Linked DNA regions of Drosophila melanogaster. The protein of the gene in region 2 purifies or fractionates together with the protein of the main gene of each other region. This does not show direct contact. Each region holds a gene or a part of one and is shown on either strand. Other genes may lie near its edges. The genes, in order: CG5447, Rdh1, Karybeta3 and CG13887.

Evidence for each region.
Region 1: the proteins of Rdh1 (region 2) and CG5447 purify together in Drosophila melanogaster (affinity purification with mass spectrometry, with the first as the bait; one large-scale study listed by BioGRID). This does not show direct contact.
Region 3: the proteins of Rdh1 (region 2) and Karybeta3 purify together in Drosophila melanogaster (affinity purification with mass spectrometry, with the first as the bait; one large-scale study listed by BioGRID). This does not show direct contact.
Region 4: the proteins of Rdh1 (region 2) and CG13887 purify together in Drosophila melanogaster (affinity purification with mass spectrometry, with the first as the bait; one large-scale study listed by BioGRID). This does not show direct contact.

What each region holds. Positions count from the first base shown.
Region 1 is NT_033777.3:26,450,987-26,455,119, reverse strand, and holds CG5447 (uncharacterized protein), read right to left. Parts: upstream 2,587-4,133; 5' UTR 2,463-2,586; intron 2,267-2,462; 5' UTR 2,260-2,266; coding exon 2,098-2,259; intron 2,032-2,097; coding exon 1,879-2,031; intron 1,552-1,878; coding exon 1,411-1,551; coding exon of another isoform or gene 1,372-1,410; 3' UTR 1,212-1,371; intron 1,141-1,211; 3' UTR 535-1,140; downstream 1-534. Other genes in the region: CG43117 (uncharacterized protein), read right to left, coding at 80-307; Hex-t2 (hexokinase testis 2), read right to left, coding at 2,889-3,740, 3,829-4,133.
Region 2 is NT_033778.4:7,664,104-7,667,850, forward strand, and holds Rdh1 (retinol dehydrogenase 1), read left to right. Parts: upstream 1-1,724; 5' UTR 1,725-1,833; coding exon 1,834-1,913; intron 1,914-2,042; coding exon 2,043-2,306; intron 2,307-2,370; coding exon 2,371-2,527; intron 2,528-2,583; coding exon 2,584-2,843; intron 2,844-2,900; coding exon 2,901-3,132; 3' UTR 3,133-3,240; downstream 3,241-3,747. Other genes in the region: CG2065 (uncharacterized protein), read left to right, coding at 1-193, 250-406, 472-731, 793-1,021; DCTN4-p62 (dynactin 4, p62 subunit), read right to left, coding at 3,298-3,747.
Region 3 is NT_033777.3:4,647,236-4,655,128, reverse strand, and holds Karybeta3 (karyopherin beta 3), read right to left. Parts: upstream 5,954-7,893; 5' UTR 5,443-5,953; coding exon 5,362-5,442; intron 4,545-5,361; coding exon 4,395-4,544; intron 4,331-4,394; coding exon 3,236-4,330; intron 3,147-3,235; coding exon 1,793-3,146; intron 1,678-1,792; coding exon 1,040-1,677; 3' UTR 505-1,039; downstream 1-504. Other genes in the region: rpk (ripped pocket), read right to left, coding at 6,991-7,734, 7,791-7,893.
Region 4 is NT_037436.4:835,951-840,444, reverse strand, and holds CG13887 (uncharacterized protein), read right to left. Parts: upstream 2,585-4,494; 5' UTR 2,325-2,584; coding exon 1,821-2,324; intron 1,343-1,820; coding exon of another isoform or gene 1,292-1,342; exon of another isoform or gene 1,196-1,291; coding exon 1,013-1,195; 3' UTR 514-1,012; downstream 1-513. Other genes in the region: JMJD5 (jumonji domain containing 5), read left to right, coding at 1-387; CG13901 (uncharacterized protein), read left to right, coding at 2,994-3,662; CG42554 (uncharacterized protein), read right to left, coding at 3,892-4,494.

The DNA.
Region 1 (4,133 bases), on a different chromosome or scaffold from region 2:
AATTGTTGTGCCCATTATTAGAAATGTGTTTTCTTTAGGTATTTTTTATTCGCCATTGTTTGGTAAGCTAAAGATCTTATTAACCAGATTTCTTGTTAACATGGATCCTGCGCACTGTCTTATAGTGGAGATTACGGATCGTAAAATGTTTCCTATGAACGGTTGTGGCCTTGGCAGTGGTGGTTGTGGTTGCCTCCGTGGTTGTGGTGTTGGTGGATGTGGTGGAATTGGTCTGGGCTGAGGAAGGCTGCAGCAGGCAGAATCCGGCGAATAGGACGAGCGCCAATAGATAAGTGCTTAGCTTCATTGTGCGGCTTTGCAAGAATCGTGAATGTATAAGACGAGGCTTTAGAGGCCTTTATATATACGAAAGTTTTCTACGCCAGACAATAACAAATATCCGCAGATGATAAGTAAATAGCGAAATACAATTGAAAATCAGCAAAAACAAATTTTGCACGCCACATTTTGCTTAACTTGTTTGCTTCCAATTCGATGTTTACCCGCCGCAGGAAAACAGTTGTAGGCGCGTTTAAATGACGGCAATATATATATTTTTCTTATAAGATATATAACTATGTTAATCAATGTTGCTGATTTATATTAAATATCGAACGATTCTCGATTCGATTTATGTGTAAGTTCATTTGGCGCTGTTTGAAATCGGTAAGTATTGTATAGAAAAAGTTATGCGTATGCATTATGTCTGATTAAGCTTGAACTATGTGTGTGTGTATTTATGCAAATGTTAATGCCATATTGAAATTACAACATTAGACAATCGAATTGTTGGCAACTACTACAAACATGATGTATACAATTCTATTCATTTTCAAATTACAAAACAATCAATTCTCGCTGGCCTTTCGGTCCGATTAATAAAACAATTGTAACATATGCGAATGTGTGTATATGTTGATGCTTCTTGCTTCGGCTCAAAATGCAGTTTCGGTAGCTTTTCACTTACATGACTATGCCTGCTATTGCATAAATACTAACTAACTGGCCGTACACTGCCTTGGCTAATCATTAACGGCTAATCTAGCATACAGTATGTGGCTGCAGCGGAGGCACATCTACCAGCACACCCGTGACTAAGTCGCATGCCCCGAAAACGCTCTGGCCACTGCTTTTGCCAAGCTGAAAGGATGCGAAAGTAAATGTTAGTTAGTTCAGTTTGCAATTGAGTGCGGAATATCTGAGATACTCACACATATGGTTATAGGTTATAAAGCTTTAGCTGCTTCCACAGCTTTTTATTGATTTATATTTTTGGAAACGCACTCTGATGGCGCTGACTTTTGCTTGATAATTGCTGAAACGGACTCTTCTCCTTCACATGCCTGTTGATGCGACTGTAGCTGCTCGATCTCACATGAAAAACTCGTTGGCTGAATGGGAAAGCGGAAGTCACGTTCGCCCCGGACGATCGAATATTGTAATCTCTATGACGCGAAGTCCCCGATAAGTGGGATCGATCAGCTGCAGTCCCTTGGTGTTGTAAATGCGTTCATTTTGGGAAGCCACAAATTTGGATATCTTGCGAAGGGTCTGTGGGGGCGAAAGAGCATTAGTATGTGCAGGCAATAGAGCTGGAAGTGCCACTGCCTTATTTTAAACTCGTATAACAGATAGCACGATCACTAATTAGCAAGTAATACTACTACTTGATTTATCAAGTTCTCTGACCTTTATACCTTAAACAGATATGAAAACCTTGAGTACAAGGACATTAACGAGAATAACTTTGATAACTTATACGATCGCATATCGACATTTGTGAAATTGTTGACTCTAATCCCTATTAATAGTTCCCTAGTGGAACTAGACTCTATTGCATTGACCCACATGTGTGTAATCCAAACCCAAATGACGCACCTTTTCATAGTGCGTTTCGGAGCACATATAGATCAAGTAGGCCGTGATGCAGCCAATGCAGCCCTCGCAATAGGTGCCGCAGGATCCCTCCTCCGCCTCGGCGTAGAACTCGTTTAGCCTATTGATGGTGGCCTCGAAGACGTGTCTTTCAATCTGCACGAGAATCGATATGAGTTCGGATGATAATCCCACAGATAATATAGAGTATTATATAGTCACCATGCCCTCCAGCTCAGCGGGCAGCCGTGTATGGAACTTGACGGAGGTGCCCTCGCTGTAATCGCGCTGGATGAAGACCTTGCTGAAGACCACGCCCCCTCCGGTCGCCTGGAGCGCTGTGGGATTACCGCCCGCTGGAGTAGTGCCACCGCCTTGGGACATGTTGTCGCTGAAAAGGCGGATAATGGCATTAATGGCCTCGCTCTGCAGCGCCCGATGCATTTGGTTAAGGGCAATCATCTTGATGCTCAGAGTGGAGTGTCCAAATCCCAAATGGACAGCTGGCCTTGCTTTTTCCAGCACCGCCCGAAATGGGGGTGTTTTGCTGGTCTGGTCGGTGGGGCACGGCCTGCTTGGTTACCCACCTGTTTGTCTTGGCTTGAAGTAATCGCAGTTGGCCTGGAAAAGCTCACAGGAATGCCCTAATTGCCTCAAATTCCTTAAATTGGTCGAGAGATAAATGTTTGCAAACTCCAAGTGTTACCAGATGGCGAGTTGGCTTTTATACCAAAATAGTGTTACCCCATCCCTATCGTTCCATAAATATTCTAAAAATACTGCATGTACTAAAAAATACTATGGATGTGCAGTGTTGCCACTAAGGCAGAAAATTATTATATCTTTGGCGCCATAATTCAAATCGGATTTCTGGACACAATTTTAAGTTTGAAAGGATAATATTAAAAGTTCCCATTATATCCTTAAATCTTTATTTCTTCTTCCATAATTTTGTGCTCATATATCATTGTCCGTAACGTTTCCCATGCATTTGAAGAATATCAACTTCGAATTTAGAGCTTGCTTTTGGCCTGGACTGCGGTGGCCGCCACGAGAGCCGCTCCTCTTCCGGATCCGTCCTCCGAAACAACCAGCTCAAACTTGACGCCCGGCTTGAGGAGCTTCTTCATGTGGTACTGGAGCATGTCGTGGTACTTGGGATGGAAGCGATACACGCTACCGTCTATGCCGATGGCCACCTCGTTGATGTTCATCTTGTTGATAATGGTGACCAGGCCGCAGGCACATAGCTTGGCAGACCTGGAGGACACCGCCTCGCAGATGTATCGCAGGGCCTCTTTGTCGGGTTCCTGGCAGCCCAATATGCCCAATTCGCTAAGGACCTTATTGCAATTGCGATACTCGCCAGGTGCATCACTTTCAACATCGGAAATATAGGCGGTTTTGAAGCTCCATCGCTCCTGGATCTTCTCGGAAATGATGCCGTGGAACATAAAACCCTTGGCAATCATATCGGTGATGACCAAACGTACAAGTTCACCCATATACATGCCCGATATGCACTTTTCGAACGTCTGCTTGCCGGGATTGGGTGTTACCTTGTCGACTGCCTTGTCGTAGGAAGTTCGAACGAACTCCAGAACACCATTGTCCCCAAAGGCGCCCCACTCGCAGTTGATTATCATTGATGGCTTGGGACTGGTCTGGTATCCTTCGAAGCATTCGGCATTTACTGTTTTCTCCACATAGCACGCATTGGAGCCGGTTCCCACGATCAATCCAATCCGGCAGTTGGGATGATAGAAGGCGCAGGACATCAGAGTGCCCACCGTATCGTTGAGAATGGCGACGGTATTGATCTTTAGATCGCCCCTTCGATCGATTGCCTCCTGGAGAAGACTCACCTAGGAATGCATATTAAAAGAAATTCATTTGTTAAATATAAATGTTAATAGAACCACACGTAAATAGTTTGAACGCCATGAAACTCACCACATTCTTGCCCACCACGCCTTCGCAGCTGAATCCTTTGGTCCAGGCCACAAGGATACCCTTGGAGAGTCCCTGCTGCTGGAGCGGAAACGAGAAGGTGAAGCCCAGAGCCAGTGATTCATTCTCCAGGCCATGGGAGTGACAAAACTCCGACAGGCATTCGGCAAGGAAGTCGAAAAGCGCCTTTCCCGATCCGGACATCAGAGTTTGAGGAAAATTATAGCCCTTCGACATGGTTTCCACGTCCGAGTTGCTAATCAGGTTCACCAGAAGCACCCTGAAATTAGAGCCACCCAGATCCAGGG
Region 2 (3,747 bases):
CCAACACGGGCATTGGCAAGGAGACGGTCCTGGAGATTGCCAAGCGAGGAGGCACTGTGTACATGGCATGCCGGGATATGAACCGGTGCGAGAAGGCGCGCCAGGATATTATCAGGGAGACAAATAACCAGAACATATTCTCTCGAGAACTGGACTTGAGTTCGCTGGAATCCATTCGCAAATTCGCTGCTGGGTAAACGCAAACATGATAGATCGACGAATGCGTTACTGATTTCCCTCGTTTATTAGATTCAAGAAAGAGCAGGATAAGCTTCATGTCCTGATAAACAATGCAGGAGTTATGCACTGTCCCAGAACACTGACCAAGGATGGCTTCGAAATGCAGTTGGGAGTCAACCATATGGGACACTTCCTGCTCACCCACTTGCTGCTGGACGTATTGAAGGTATTTTGGGTACTCAGGACTTTCTTAGCACCTTGTTAACCAAACTCCCTGCTTAATCTCACTAGAAAACTGCACCCAGTCGCATCGTGAACGTTTCCAGCCTGGTGCACACCCAAGGTTTCATTAAAACTGCCGACCTAAACAGTGAAAAGTCGTACAGCAGAATCGGTGCCTATAGTCAGAGCAAGCTGGCCAACGTCCTGTTCACCCGGGAATTGGCCAAGCGCCTGGAGGGAACGGGGGTCACAACCAACTCCCTACATCCCGGTGCCGTGGACACGGAGCTGTCGAGGAATTGGAAGTTCCTGAAACACCCCTTTGCACAGTAAGATAGAAGACATAAGTGGGCACTACTTGAGTTTGATATTAACACTCGTATCGCTTAGGCTACTGCTCAAGCCCCTCCTGTGGGTACTCTTCAAAACCCCTCGCAATGGAGCGCAGACCACTCTCTACGCAGCCCTGGATCCTGCACTAAAGGATGTTTCCGGGCTCTACTTTAGCGACTGCCAGCCAAAGGAAGTGTCCGCAGCTGCCCAGGACGACAAGACTGGAAAGTTCCTCTGGGCGGAGAGCGAGAAGTGGACCGGCGTGAATTCAACCAAAGTTGATTAAGCAACCATTAGTTTATCCCTCGCCATTTCATAATTTATTATTTTAATAGCTTATCATAATGAAGACTAACGCAAAATGTAATAATTTATGTTTGAATTGTAGAATTCTTACGGATTCTACAAGCTGAAAATAAAGAAATGCTCCCAAAAAAGCTTTACCTAATCTAAAATTTGTATTTTGAGATCAACATTGTTGCATTTCTGTGTTCAGTACTAAAGAAAAATGGTCAAATTCTTTTGTTTTTTTTGTAAAAGTGATGGAATCAATTTGGATGATTCATGCTTTATTTTTGTACCCGTTATTCCTGGAGTAGGAGGGTATACTAAATTAGTTGGAAAGTATGTATGTAACATAACGAATCAGTTAGTTCCCTATATCTCGACGTTCAAACGGACGGATATGGCTGGATGGATCGTTTTGACTAGTGTTGCTGATCAAGTCTAAATATAAACTTTATTCTATATGTTACATACTGTTCAGCGAACCTATTATACCCTTTTACTCCACGCGTAATATACCCATTGAGTAAATATAAACATCAATGGAATTGCTTTTATTTGTTTGAATGCTTTCCACTATCATAACATATTATTGAGAATTCGTTTTCTCTTGACCTTCGTTAAGAATCTCTCTCCCGACGTTCTCCATTTCGTCAGGTTCTCACTCCGAATTAGCGATAATATATGTTTGTGTGGGGTAGCTGTGCTCAGTAATATATTAACAGCTGTGCTGTTCGTACCAGAACGCACTCAACGATTGAAATAAGATCTGACAACACCCTAAATACAAGGAATTGTACAAAGATATTCAAAATGTGCATTTTCATCGATTGCTTATTGAGCCCCTTGATTATGTGGCCAGCTACTATCGGCGTGGGCATCTACTTCTTGAAGTGAGTTGCGGTAATTATTTCGTGTAATTATGAAATATACCAGTGTGACTACGCATCCATGACTCGCTACTATGATTCCCCCGGGTAATAGATAACAGCTTTTCAGGTAATTCCTATTGATAATTCCAGGGAGTACATGCAAGGTGGAAAGTTTACGAAGGACACCGATGAGACCGGAAAGGTATTCATTGTGACCGGTGCCAACACGGGCATTGGCAAGGAGACGGCTCTGGAGATAGCCAGACGTGGGGGAACTGTGTACTTGGCTTGCAGGGATATGAACCGATGTGAAAAGGCCCGCAAGGATATCATCAAGGAGACAAATAACCAGAATATATTCTCTCGAGAGCTGGACCTAAGTTCCCTAGACTCCATTCGCAAATTTGTTGATGGGTAAGCTTACCTCCAGAGAATTTTCTTGTCTCTGTAAGATTTAAAAACCTATCCTATCAATCAGCTTCAAGAAGGAGCAACCCAAGCTTCACGTCCTGATCAACAATGCCGGCGTGATGCGTTGTCCCAAGACCCTAACCAAGGATGGCTACGAACTGCAGCTGGGAGTAAATCATATTGGTCACTTTTTGTTGACTAACTTGCTGCTCGACGTACTGAAGGCAAGTGTGCTATATAATAGTCAAGTGCGTCAGATAATGGTCTTACAAAATTTCAGAACTCGGCTCCCAGTCGCATTGTCGTTGTGTCCAGTCTGGCACATGCGCGTGGCTCCATTAACGTAGCCGACCTCAACAGCGAGAAGTCGTATGATGAGGGCCTAGCCTACAGCCAGAGCAAGTTGGCCAACGTCCTGTTCACCCGGGAATTGGCCAAGCGTTTGGAGGGCAGCGGAGTCACAGTAAATGCCCTTCACCCTGGTGTGGTGGACACTGAGCTGGCGCGGAACTGGGCCTTCTTCCAGACAAACCTTGTGAAGTAAGTGATGAATAAGTGAATTAGGACCTTCCCAGTAATACCTGTTAACCTTCCTAGGTTCTTTTTAAAGCCAATGATTTGGCCGCTTTTAAAGACACCGAAGAGTGGAGCTCAGACCTCGATTTACGCTGCTTTGGATCCGGAGCTTAAGAACATCTCTGGCCTGTACTTCAGTGACTGCAAACCAAAGCCTGTGGCTTCTGGTGCCTTGGACGATAAGGTTGCCAAGTTCCTGTGGGCCGAGAGCGAGAAGTGGACCGGATTAGATAAGCTGGAAGCTAATAACTAAAGAAGAACGAATAGTGTTAGAACAAGCCTTTTATTATACTTGAATACTAGCTGCTGTTTCACGAACGGATTAATAAATAAATACATATTTCTCTAGCTTTCATAAAGCATATTTCATATTTCGCATAAGTCGATTAGTACGCCTGTTGGCTAATAAGTTTCCAGTTTAGTTGGCTTTCTGCTCAGTTGCTCCCGCCGTGATAAACACCCTGGAGTGGAGCACATGGGTTGTGGGTTCCCTCTTCTCTTGCGCATTGTTTACGGTGTTGACGTATGTGTACTGCATATAGAAGCCCAGAACGACGTCTGCTAATCCGGACAGCTCCTCTGCTGGGGTAAACTGTAGCCGCAAAAGCACCTTGTTGCCCTTCCGCCAGACAATAAACTTGGGCTCCTCGGTGGACAGTTGCACGTCCTCGTCGAACTCTTTCGAGTCATCGCGCTGGTTCAGAACGAACTCGCTCTCCAACGGAACTATTTCGGCATTGGATATATCAATCACATCTCGTTTTACCTCCCGTGTTGAGTTTTGACGCGACAGTGTGATGCCCACTGCTTTTAGAAGTGGGGACGAAGAAATGGGTTCCTCTTTCGCAACACGAGTGGCCTCTGTTGA
Region 3 (7,893 bases), on a different chromosome or scaffold from region 2:
GCATCCGCCCTTCCGCTGCACTCACCGTCTACCTGTTGCACTCACTCACCTTTGGGTTTTGGTTTCGTCTGATTCTGAGCGTTTAATCTGCACTTTGCCCACCAAGTCACCTAATGATTTAGAAAGCAAACAGAGAAACGCTCTCTTTCGCTATTTTCTCACTAATTTTACGAATTATTTTCTGCTCCTGTTTAGTCGCACACCTTTAAAGTGAGAATATCGTTTGCCTAATATCACTTAAATTCGTAAATAACATGTTAAAATGTGTGTTTTCCATTCGAGTTGAATGTTCCAAGTTTTTCCATCTTTGTTTTGATTTGCTTACTTTCCATTGCGAATCAGATCAGCTGTTTAGGAGGCCTCTGCATGTTCACTGCCACAGACAGAGTTGCCACAACGACTTTTGAAAAGTCTTTTGCGGGAATCGAATTTGAAATTGAATGAATGGTTAATAATAAAAAGCAATACTAAAACATAAGCTCGTGGCAATTAAAATATCGATTTACTTGTTATTTATTTCGTTTTTATCATGTTTAAAATACAATAAATGTTATTCCTTTAAATATATTTGTCGATCCTGGTTTGAATGCACAAAATTATATTTCGTTCGATTCGGACAACGTTTACATCCTGTTTTCCCCGCAGGGAGAGGCGGCCGTTAGGGCCGTATATACACACATATGTATTAAACATATGAAAATTTGAGTAACGAAAATATTCTATTGGAATTTGGGTGTGATTGGGATGGCATTTGGATCGCATCCATACAACATATCAAATTCTAACGAGGCAGACTTTTGTCTTCGGGAGAAGAGTTTTGATTAAAATCACAATATGTATAGAATTATATACCCGGATAACTCTATTGTACACATAAATGTATATCTGTATAAATGGATATCTATGTGTTAAACATATACTTCAAAATTTCGGTAAGATGAAAAATAATGATAACGAGTAGCTGAAGCATCCATCGTTCCTTTCTTGGCTTGGTCGACATGAATGGACTTGGTCTGAAGAGGATTGGGATTGCGATATCTTAGGCGGGAGCCACGTTTGCCAGCTCCCGGTAGGCATCCTGCAGCGCCTGCTGCTGTTCCGGGCTCAAGGTGCTGGCACAAGCAGCCATTACCTCCGGATTCGATTCCACTTGTTTGACGATAGTGAGCATACGAGTGCCGGTGGCGGACTGCGCCTCAACCACCTTGGTGCAGAAGGATTCAGCGATGATGGAGACAATGCGCGGCAGATTGCCGTTGTTTGCCCCAAGAATGACCGGATGGTTGCCTTCAATCAAGTCGCATAGGTAGCCATAGATGTGGGCGGCTTCTTCCGAATCCTCGGACACCGGCAGCCATGAGAACCAAACACCGATCAGCTCGTCCACGTTGCTCAGCGCCGAGTTGTTGTACTTGAGGATCTTAGCAAACGCCGAGATCGCATTCTCTGTCGGACTGATGTTCTCGATTTCGCGGGCTTTGGGATCGTTGATGACCTGCACCAGCAGTGGAATGATCTGGGCGCATGTATGCGCAAACTGCTCACCAGCGAATTGGCCGAGCACCCCGCATCCGTAGGCAGCCGCCTGGCGCACTTCTGGGGCCTTATCGCACACGTACTGGACGAGGGCTGGCGTAAAGATCTGCTGGTATGGAGCACAAGCGGGGCCACAAAATTCTGTAGGTAAATGAGAATACAAGTCTTTAGTTTTATGGTGGCACAAATGATTTGATGTTTGAAGGTATCGGCGGTACTATTGAACTGCAAAACTCAATTAAGAAAACCAACTCACCGATCAGATCATCGAACACGCATAAGCCCCACTGCCGATCAGCTACAGGTCGGCTGGGCTCCAGTAGCTTGACAAAGTGCGGAGCCACCTGTTCAAAGGCGGGTAAGAACTGAGCCTTGTTGGTCTGGAAAAGGGCGTGTGTAATGTCCACGATTTTGGAAAGGATGTAAACATCTGTGTCGTCCTGCTCGGCCAGCTCCTCCTCCACACCGTCGTCGTAGTCTTCCTCATTGCGAGCCGCCAAACGCTTGTCAGCACGCTCGAAATGCTCCAGAACATACTTGTTTATAATCTCGAGAACTTGTTTCATGGCATCCTCGTTAAGGCAATTCGGACCCAATGTCTCAATGCATTTTGCCAGCGAATTCAGCAGCTCCGACTGCACGTCTGGCTCCGGTTCCGTGACGATTACCTTGAGCAGCTCCGGACAAATGAACATCCACATGCCCTCCAGATACTGTGGACCCTTAATTTTTGCGCAGTCGAGAAGGTAAGGCAGCGACTCAGCAGCAGCTGTGCGGACACCGTCGTGGAAGTAGAACTTAAGCATGGGCAGCATTTGACGCACCACGTCCTCAGCGTATTCGGCAAATCCTTCCTTTAGTTCCCTAGCATAACAAACCAGCATCTCACAGGCCGAAGCCTTGTCGTCCATGCCAGCCGTGCGAATGGCGAAGTTCTGCTGCTCGCCAAGATTAATGAAAGACCAGTCCACATCACCGTCGATGTCCTCCACCTCGTCGTTGTCCAGCATCGCCACCTCAGGCTTCATGGTGGCCGTTCGCATCACTGGTCCCATAACGAGGGGCAGATATTGCTCAAATTGCTTGCCAAGGATTTTGCACATACGTGCCCAGGCAGTGATGAGATAGGAGGTCTGCGGATCATCATCAGCTAGTTCCCCCCCCTCGGTGTGATTGACCAGCAGCATATCCATGACTTCTCCGGCATCACCAATAAACTTCTCCCGCCCCACCGCCAATCCTATCAAGCTCACGCATTCAATGGTCTTGCCGCGAAGCATGCGGAGATCATCCGAGTTGGCGTTCTGGATGATGAACTTAAGGCATGGCATTAGGCGATCGTAGTAGGCCACAAATTCCGATTCGCAGGTGTCTGCAACCGATGCAATTGTCGTCACTACCTGCTCCAGTACCAGCTTGTTTCCCTTCTCCACCAGCTCCTTGAACTTCGAGTTCAGAATAGTCTCCAGCTTGGCCATGATCCCGTCCAGGTAGCGTGTCAATATATTTTTCGGGCAGTCCTCGCTGAAGTTCACCAGAGCGGCACCTGCGTGTGCTTGCACTCGCGGATTTTCCACGTCATCCAAAAGAGACAAGAGGCCGGGAATCACCTGGCGAAACAAGGGAAAATTGTTAAGCATTTAATTAATTTCAATTGCTTATTAGAAAGTTGATAAAGCAGTTGCAATTTAAGACTCACCTGGCTGTGGAACTTCTTCTCGAAGGTCTGTGCAAAGTCGGTGGACATTTGGCCAATGGCGTTGCAAGCGGCGTATCGAACGCGAGGATGAGGATCGCTCAGGAAGTTCAGGACTCCGGACATTACCTCATCTAGGATGGCTTCCATCTGCTTGTGACAACCCTCACCGATGGCCGAGATGGCCATGAGGGCTGCGAAGCGATGTTTCCAATCGGCATGACCCAACATAACCGGCAGAGCGTTCATTACGAGCGGAAGCACAATCTTTCCTCCCAATCCACAGGCGAGGCGATCCAGCGAGGACTCGGCGATCACGTTGTTGTCGCTGTGATCGTCATCATCGACCACGTCGGCGGTGGACCAGTTCTCGTCATCATCCAAATCCGTCATCATATGGAGAATCAGCGGGATCAGGGCCACGATATACTTGTCCGCTCGCTTGCGTATCATCGACGGGGCGTTCTCGGCGAGCGACACCATAACTTCCAACACTAGGTGACGCCAGCTGTCCTCAAAGTCCTGCGAGCTGAAAACCTTCATGCAGACCTCAAAAATGAACTCCAGCTGGGGACGCAGGAACTTCGGGCAATTCTCGGTCATCTCAATCAGGAGCTTTAGCAGACTCTGATCATCCTGGGCCTCGATGGTCTCGCCAGTGATGTGGATCATGCGGGGCAGCATATCAGCGAAGTGCTTGTGGATGGCCGTCTCGTTCTCCTTGTCGTGGTAGAGGATGAAGGCTCCGACGGCTCGCACGGCCTGTACTCGGACCTCCGGATCGGATCCAGCGTCCATGCTCTTGGCAAGCATCTGCTTGATCAGATCAATGTACTGAGCTTCCTGGTTTCCAAATATGGAAGGCACACTAGAGAAGATCCGCAGTGCCGATTCCTGCAGCTGCGGCGTAGGCGAGTTAGCGCATTGAAAGAGAAACTGCAAGATGTCGGGCCACTGGTTGTTGCAGTCCTCGTCGATCAGATTCCTGGCCACCTCGGCAACTACCTCGCAAATCTTGCGACGCAGCTGCGGCGTCACCTCCTGCTGCACGGCCAAAAGGATCTGCTGAAGCAATTGGTTCTGGGATTCAGCTGGAAGCTGCAAATGAGGTAATATTAGAAAGATGCTCAGAGGGCGATTCTCTGCGCGGCTTTATGCCTACCCCTTTGTAGAAATCAAAGAACTCGGTGGTAAACAGGCGGCGCAGCAACACGGCGGCCATCTGTCGAGCCTCCTCCGACTGCTGGCCATTTTGGATGTTGCCCAGGAGATGCGTCACCTTCAGCTCTCTTGAAAGATTGTTGTATGCTTCCTGGAATTAAAAATGGTTTTTGTACATATCCATTCGATGTAATTTTAAAATATATAAATATTATTTATATATGTAAATACAATTCCACCTTGACAACATTGGGCTCTGAAACAATTTAAAACGGATCTCGATTATTTCCATCTCTCAAGTGAAAAGCAAAGTCACAATTCTGAATAGGTATTTTTAGCAATCCAGGTGGAACTTTGGGTGGAAGCGGTACCATGCTTGCCATCTGCCCAAGGTCAACAGAGTGGGTGGGGTTTTCTGGCTGGTGTGGCGTGGGCGTGGCGGTGCCATGTGGCGCCGGAGCGAGACTTCGGAATCCGAGTGGCTTATCAACCGACAGATTGCATTTCTGGAACCGTGTGTCATGGATTTCGCACCTGCTCTTTGTTTCCGTTTGCGGCGGCAATCGGTAAACCGAATTGCCTACTACGAATTCTAATGGAAAATCATGTGGCGGCCATGCAAATTGCACAATTCGCTTCCATTTTGCTTTGTTTGCTTGCTTCGCACCGTCTGTCCGTCGGCTCTCCCTCGCACACATGCGAATGTCGGGGCAAAGCGGAGGGCGAAAACACGTTTTGTACGATGAATCAGATTCGTCTGAAATTTCGGCCGTAGGATTCGCACACCGACGTTTGTTCGTGTGTATACATACATATGTGCCGGGAGAAGATCTTATTGATGGCAGTCCGCCGTATATTTTTGCTCATGTGCAACCCATTGCGGGAATTGCGCATCGAAATTTCGAGGCGACGGCAATACGCTCTGCAAGATCCCCTGCCACGCCGTAATCGAGAATATTGGGACTCACCTCCGCCTGCTGGCGAACATCGTTGTCCGTGGACAAGAGGGAGGCCAGAAGCTGCTGGAAATGGGCCTGATCCGCTGCCATCTTATCCTGTCTGGTTCAAATGAATCGAAACACGGGAACTCGTGGAAACCACGATTTTCACTTCAGTCTTCACGCAACGGCGGCCGCCTAAAAAGAGCAGAACGGAACAACTGGCTGGGTTGCCAAGGTTCGCAAACAAGCGCACTGCACTCTTGGTCAGTTTTCGTGATTGCCGTGAATCTTGGGATGGTTGGTCTTTGGTGGGTGCTGCTGCTGCGCGGCCTATCCAACTTTCTTTTATTTAACTTTTTATGCAATTTAGTGGACACGCTGGAATCTCGCTAAAGCGCTAAGGCAATACTGCTCCGCCGTTATCGATAAAACGCGACTGCTTTTGGCGCGCAAGCGGCCGCCCGCACTAGTGATGCCCGATAGCTGGCGCGTTTGTAGAACCGTCAAAAACTCTAGCTAAAGTTTAACAGTTGATTATGATCTTTTAACGGAAATAGAACTGTGTTAGTGTGAGAACACAAAGTATTTCTAAAAATTACAATCTATTTCCAAAGACCGTAGGACTGAATGAATTGTGTGTATTTAAAAGAAAAAGTCAGGTAGCCTAGATTTAAATGGTTTGTTTCTTGTTTAAAATAACTATGTAAATTATATATATATATTGTAAGCTAGAAACAAGAAATGGCTTGAAACTCATTTAAATCTAATGGCATATTATTCCGAGTGCACCATTCACCGATTTGTGTGCAGGTTTTCTAAATACAATAACAATCATTGGTGAAAATGATGAAAGGCAAGGCTTTTCTTGAACCGAAAAGCTTAAAAAGAAGCTGCACATGGGCTGCGATCTAGACATGATAAGTAATATTTATTCAATTATTGTATTTACATATGTATTTCTTGCGATCATTTAAGACCCTAACACCTCGGAAGAAGCATTGCTGTTAATGTGCAGCTGTGAGGCCACTATAAGGTTGTTACAATTCGTTTCAAGGCAATTATTCGAAAGTAAAGGACCCCCAATGAAATTCTGAACAGACTCTAGATTATAAGATAGACTATAGATAATACACCGCTGTCGGTGTGTACTAAATGTTGATTATGTTGATTAAAACATTGAAGACATTAGTAAGGTGGTTGAGCTATGAAAATCATCGATTACTCTGAATTCATGTGCTAAGTTAACGGGCATCATAGACCTTCAAGATAGCATAAACGTGGAAGATGGTGTCCATATGGGCCTGATAAATAATATATATGAAATATATATCCAAAATTGGGTCGCATTTGAAGAGTTTAAGACATTCAGCTGAAGGATGTCCTTGCGGAAGACTCGACACAGATTGGAATCAATAAATTCAGCCGATTCTGAGTTATATAATGACATTATGACATCGAAGCCACTGTTGAAAATGTTCGGGAAGACTGACTCCGTCTTGGTTTTTATGTCAGCTATGTTTTGAAATTACCTAGTATGGCATATATTGAAAAATTTCTGCTAGACTAAGCATTAGTATAAATATGTATATAACTAGTTCAAACCACAATTTTTGGAACCATAAGAATTGTTCGCACTTACGAAATAGTGCTAATGGGTTATCCTTTAACCAGGCGCTTCAGATTGGTAAAGAGCCGCAACGTGAAGTGGTAGATCATTTCCACAAGACTCAAGATGGAGAACCCCATGAATAGACCGAAAATGCCACCGCAATTCGCCAGAAACTCGGTCATTCCGTAAAGCTCCGACCGCTTTGAAGTGATGAACTGACTCTGCTTGAAGTAAATGGACAAGCGGGACATCTGGGAGCCGGGATACTCCTTCAGGAACTCAGTGTCGCCCTCAGCCACTAGCATTTCTTCCAAATCAAAGTTGGCCTGGGAAATCTCCGTGTTGTAGACGAGGGATGTGCATGCTGGCATGCAGTTACAGGCAGATTCCACGCTCCGCGAATTTTCTCGGCCAGCGTTCAGCGCTTTTACTCTTTTGAATTCCCTGACTAACAACTCCCTTTCTGCCCGATCGTAGCAGTGGATCTTGTCCTCTCCGCATACAGGCATGTCCACGTTTCTGGGCATCGAGAACTTAACGCATCCGCACTTGGTCAGCGTGAAGTTGGCCAAGCACTCCAGTTGGCAATTTGATTCGGTGTACACCTTAAAAAAACGCAGCGACCGCTCGTGGCTGAGGAAGCACTGCCTCCGAACTGGATGGTACTCTGCTATTCCCGACGACATGGTGATCATGTTGGGCTTCACTGCGATCAGCACCTCCTTGCCCATGGGAATGCGCACAAACTGTTTGGAAACCTGCGGGACGTCATCGGGCGCATGAAGCAGTACCTGTAGATTGGCATTACTGTAGACACATATTGGAGCAAGAAAAAGCAAACAGCTACGTTTTCAAATTTTCCCACCTTAAATCCCTGCACAGGTCCTCGACAGGCGTAGTCCACCTCCTGCTTAAAGCTTTGGAGGGCCAAGAAAATGCCAGATCGCGCT
Region 4 (4,494 bases), on a different chromosome or scaffold from region 2:
TCCATTCCCGACTACTGCACCATCAGCAACGAAGATACCCCAGGAGCTGTGGACATCAAAGCCTGGCTGGGACCAGCTGGAACCGTATCTCCCATGCACTACGATCCCAAGCACAACTTGCTGTGCCAGGTATTCGGTTCGAAGAGGATCATCCTAGCTGCTCCTGCAGACACAGACAATCTGTATCCCCACGACAGTGAGTTTTTGGCCAATACAGCGCGAATAGATGCTGCTCAACTGGATCCTGAAACATATCCCTTGGTAGCCAAGGTGAAGTTCTACCAGCTGCTCCTGCAACCTGGTGACTGTTTGTACATGCCACCCAAATGGTGGCACTATGTGAGATCTGAAGCTCCTAGCTTCTCTGTAAGCTTCTGGTGGGAGTAAGCATTTTAATGCAGTTTATTGAACAGCAAATTTATGTAGGATGATCTCTGTTCAAGTTAAGATTAAAGTATGCACTGCAAAACCACGATAGATCACTAAATATGCGAATTTGATTAGCATTTCTGGGTAATTATCAAGGAAACATATTCGATGCCCTTTTCGCACACCGATAATGTAACGCCTCCGATTTCTAAGCTCCAAGTATGCAAACAGGTTGCGACGTCTGACGTCATTGCCGTGTACTATCAGACATGATGTGGACTATCCGCGCCAACAGATGAATCATCGAATCGATCACAACTGGATGGGTACTTTTTGGTTGTTCTTTTAATAGCCACGACGCTTTTTGGGTGTGTTACTGTGGCAAACAAAACTTAACACATACGAATTAAATACAAAACTTCGGACGAAACGAACATTGAGTTGAGGGACCATTATCAATATACCCCATTATCATTATCAAATGGTATATGTAGTTGTATCTATGAGGATTAACAATAAGATGTGTGTGCTTTCTATCGATTTGAAATCGTTATAATCTTTTAAATGTGCCTGCTTTCGCTGCCCCACCGCCATGCTTATAAGTCTTATCGTTATTTAAATGTTGGACTTGGCTCCAGTGAGTTTAATCATCCTTGTTTCCGCCTCCGCCGATGGTTATCTTCTTCTGCAGCTTGCTGTACTCCTCGGTGAGTCGGTCGTACTCGCGGTTGATGCTCTCCGCCTGCGACTTAACCGCCTCCTTGTCCTTCTTTTCGCGATTCAAGTCGGAGGTTAGCTCCTGGACGCGCTCGCGCAGCTTGTTGAGCTGCAAAATTCGGATTTCGTTTGAGTTTCGATTGGATTTTTGTTCGTTTTGGGTGTTTGGGAATGGATATAAGGTGGGTGCTCTAGGTGGGGATACTTAGGACACTCGGGCGGTGAGTCCTTGCACACGTCTCCGCAGTCTTGACAGCTGTTTAAAGAGTTAACAAGAGGTTTAAACTTTCGAGTGGTGGCTTCTGTTTATCGTGGCCCAACATATGTGTTTGGGTGTGGTTTCAAAACGTTTAGCTGCGGTCAAAACAAAAGCACTAAGCCTATGACAAATTCACTCGGTCTTCAAACTGATTTAAGTTTACGTTTAAGATTTTAATCATGATATATACTGGTATTTAAAGTTCTATATCGTTAATAGACTACATTTAAAGCCTTTTCGTATCTTATATTCAAAACCAATTGAGAAAATGTACCAGAAAGTGGAATGAAGTATAGATTTTATAGATTTAGTCGGCTAAAGACATTATCTCGCCATATTTTGACCACACCTTCTATATGCATTGCCATATCTTTACAGCTGGTAGTAGCCAATTGAACTCCAAAGTCTTAGGTGTTAGCTCTCTAGACATGCCATTCCTGGGGATCGGATGCAGGGGTTTGGGACGTGGACTCACCTCGATGAGAGTGGTATCCTCGCCGGCTTCCTTGGCCTTCTCGGTGTTCTTGTTCTCCAGCAAGGAACGTGCGGCTGCAGTGGCGCTCTGTGCCTGCTTGAAGGAAGCCTCGCTCTGGGCCATGAGATTGGCCTGGGTGCAGATCAAGTTTACCAGTCGCCGGATGACCAGGGCAAGGAAAATGGCGAATCCAGAGATGTAGAAGTTCCGCTGGGCACGGAACAGCTTCATGCTGTGCTGCATCTCCACGTTCAAGTGGACCTCGTTAGACTGCTGCAAGCCGGAGTACTTGCGCATCTCGCGAATGGCCTCCAGGAGGAAAATGACCAGAATTCCCATGATCAGCAGGAAATATATGTGCGCCTGTTGTCCCAACATCGATAGGAATTTGGACTTGAAGAACCGGTTCCAGCGGTAAGGAGTGAGCACCGGCAGCACCAGCAGAAGGACCAGTGCGATTTCCGCATAGAGAAATCCGGCGATCAAAGTCCACACCAAACTCATTTTTAATGTTTTATTAATTCCCTTTTTCGTTCGATTTTCGCTTCTTGGATTTTCGCTTTTTTCGACTGCCGCCTGTAAGCAGAAATGCGTCCAAATTAGCTGCTAAGTCTACGGATTCGGGACGGACGGTCTAGTGGCTATTTATAAACTACGGCCGGAGTGACTGGCTGCTTACTTTAAATAGCAATAATTAAATCGCTGCCGTGATGAAATATGCGTATATTTTATGTAGTCACTGCGCCGGCCACGTCAACTCTGTTTTTTTGTGTACGCACGGGGCTGCCAACTCGCGCGCTGGAATCAACTGTAAATTGGGTAGCCAGAAAAAAGCTGAATTCATGGAAAATATTCGAATTTCAAAATCATTTTATTAGTAAGTAAAAAAAATGGCAAGAATTAGTACGTATTTTGCATTAAAATTAACCATTACCTCCAAATATTACAAGACAAATCGATCATAAGGTATTGTATGTAATGCTTTAAAGTGCCTTGGTAACCCGGCTTGCGATGTAAACAAGCTGGCAGCTGGGTTGCCAGGTTTCCATCGCAATGTGCTTCTCAACAAATTTTCAACTTTGCGCCATCGATCAAATTTTCTGCCCCGTTCAGTTGTTATATTCGAATCTCCGGCGGAGACGTGTGCCTAGGTAATCCCATCAATCCCCAGAGATGTCCTACCAGAACTGGCTAAACTACCTGCAGGCGGCGGAGAAGAACTCCATGATAAGTGGCCGCGCCCGCAAGGTGCTCTACAAATTCCCGGACGGCAGGCAAATGGCCGAGGAGTACAACATGGACACGGGAATCGTGCAGCGGCGGGCCTGGAAATCGAAGAGCAACAAGATCATGGGCGAGTCGGAGTGGGAAATCGAGCTGGGCGATGAGCCGCGTCAGTTAAACTGGTCGGGCAACAAGCCACCAGGATCTGGCGAGGAAACGGACTCCCTGGCCGGCGGAGATTTCACCCTGCGGGAGAGCAACACCGCGCCACTGCTGACCAAGCGGATCACCAAGAAGAACATTGAGTGGCGCATCCGCAACATGCCCTACTCCCTGGACACATACAGCGTAACCGCCGATCCCGAGAAGCGTGCCATAGTCGTGCGCACCTCGAACAAGAAGTACTACAAGGTCATCCCGGTCCCGGAACTGGACCGCTGTGGGGTCAAGCCCGCGCAGGAGAGCCTCTCTGTCCACCACCAGTTCAACACGCTGATCATTACCTACCAGAAACCAGATATCCTCTGCGAGATGGAGGCACAGGTGCTGCTTCTGCTCAAGAATGTCGACACCGAAACCGACATGGATGATCTGCTGAAGGGTCTGATGGCCAAATAAACGACTTAGATTGTAATACACAAAGTATTATTATTATTATTATTATTGTGAATTAACCTAATTTAATTTATTTAGAGAATTCCCAAATACACTTCACAAAGGGAACTGCACAAAACGTTGAAATGAAGAACGTGCCTAAAATTAAATCCTAATCACCACTCAGCGGGCACTGCATTACCACGAGATCTTTCAAATTAGTTGAAGTTTTACAAATGGATCTTAACCAGGCCTATTTCTGGAAGCTCTCAGCCATGCCGGCATAGCTGGCCAACGAAGGAGCCGAGGAGCTGGTGAACAGGCTGTAATCGAAGGAGGGCAACTCCAAGGGCGCCAAGGATGGCAGGTCCAGGTCTCCACTGCCCGCCAGCCGCTGATCGCAAGTATCGTGTTCCTGCTCCTCCTGGGCAGAATCGCTCTTCTTCAGCGTCTCCATATGGGGCTCCGAATGGGCCAGTGTGCTAGAGGCCTTTGCCACCAAGGAGGAGGTGAACTTGGCATCGAAGTCCTGCACTGTTTTGTCGATTGCCTTGGCCACCGACTGAGCGGATCCTCCTGCGCCTCCACTTGCTCCGGCTTCTGGTCGCAGGGGCAGCATGGGACTGGTTTCCTTCAAGGGAGCATAATCCTTCAGCTTGTTCAGACCATGCTGCGTCTTTCGCATCTCAATTTGACGCAGTTTGCGCTGAAAATCGAGGGTCAATGTGTCCAGAACTTCCTTGGATTTGGGCAGAGCCACCCGTTTTTGGGCATCCTGCATGTAGATTAGGGATGTTTCCAGCGCTTTAATGGCCTCCTCATAGCGGTGATTGCGTATAAATCGCTCCGACCTTCG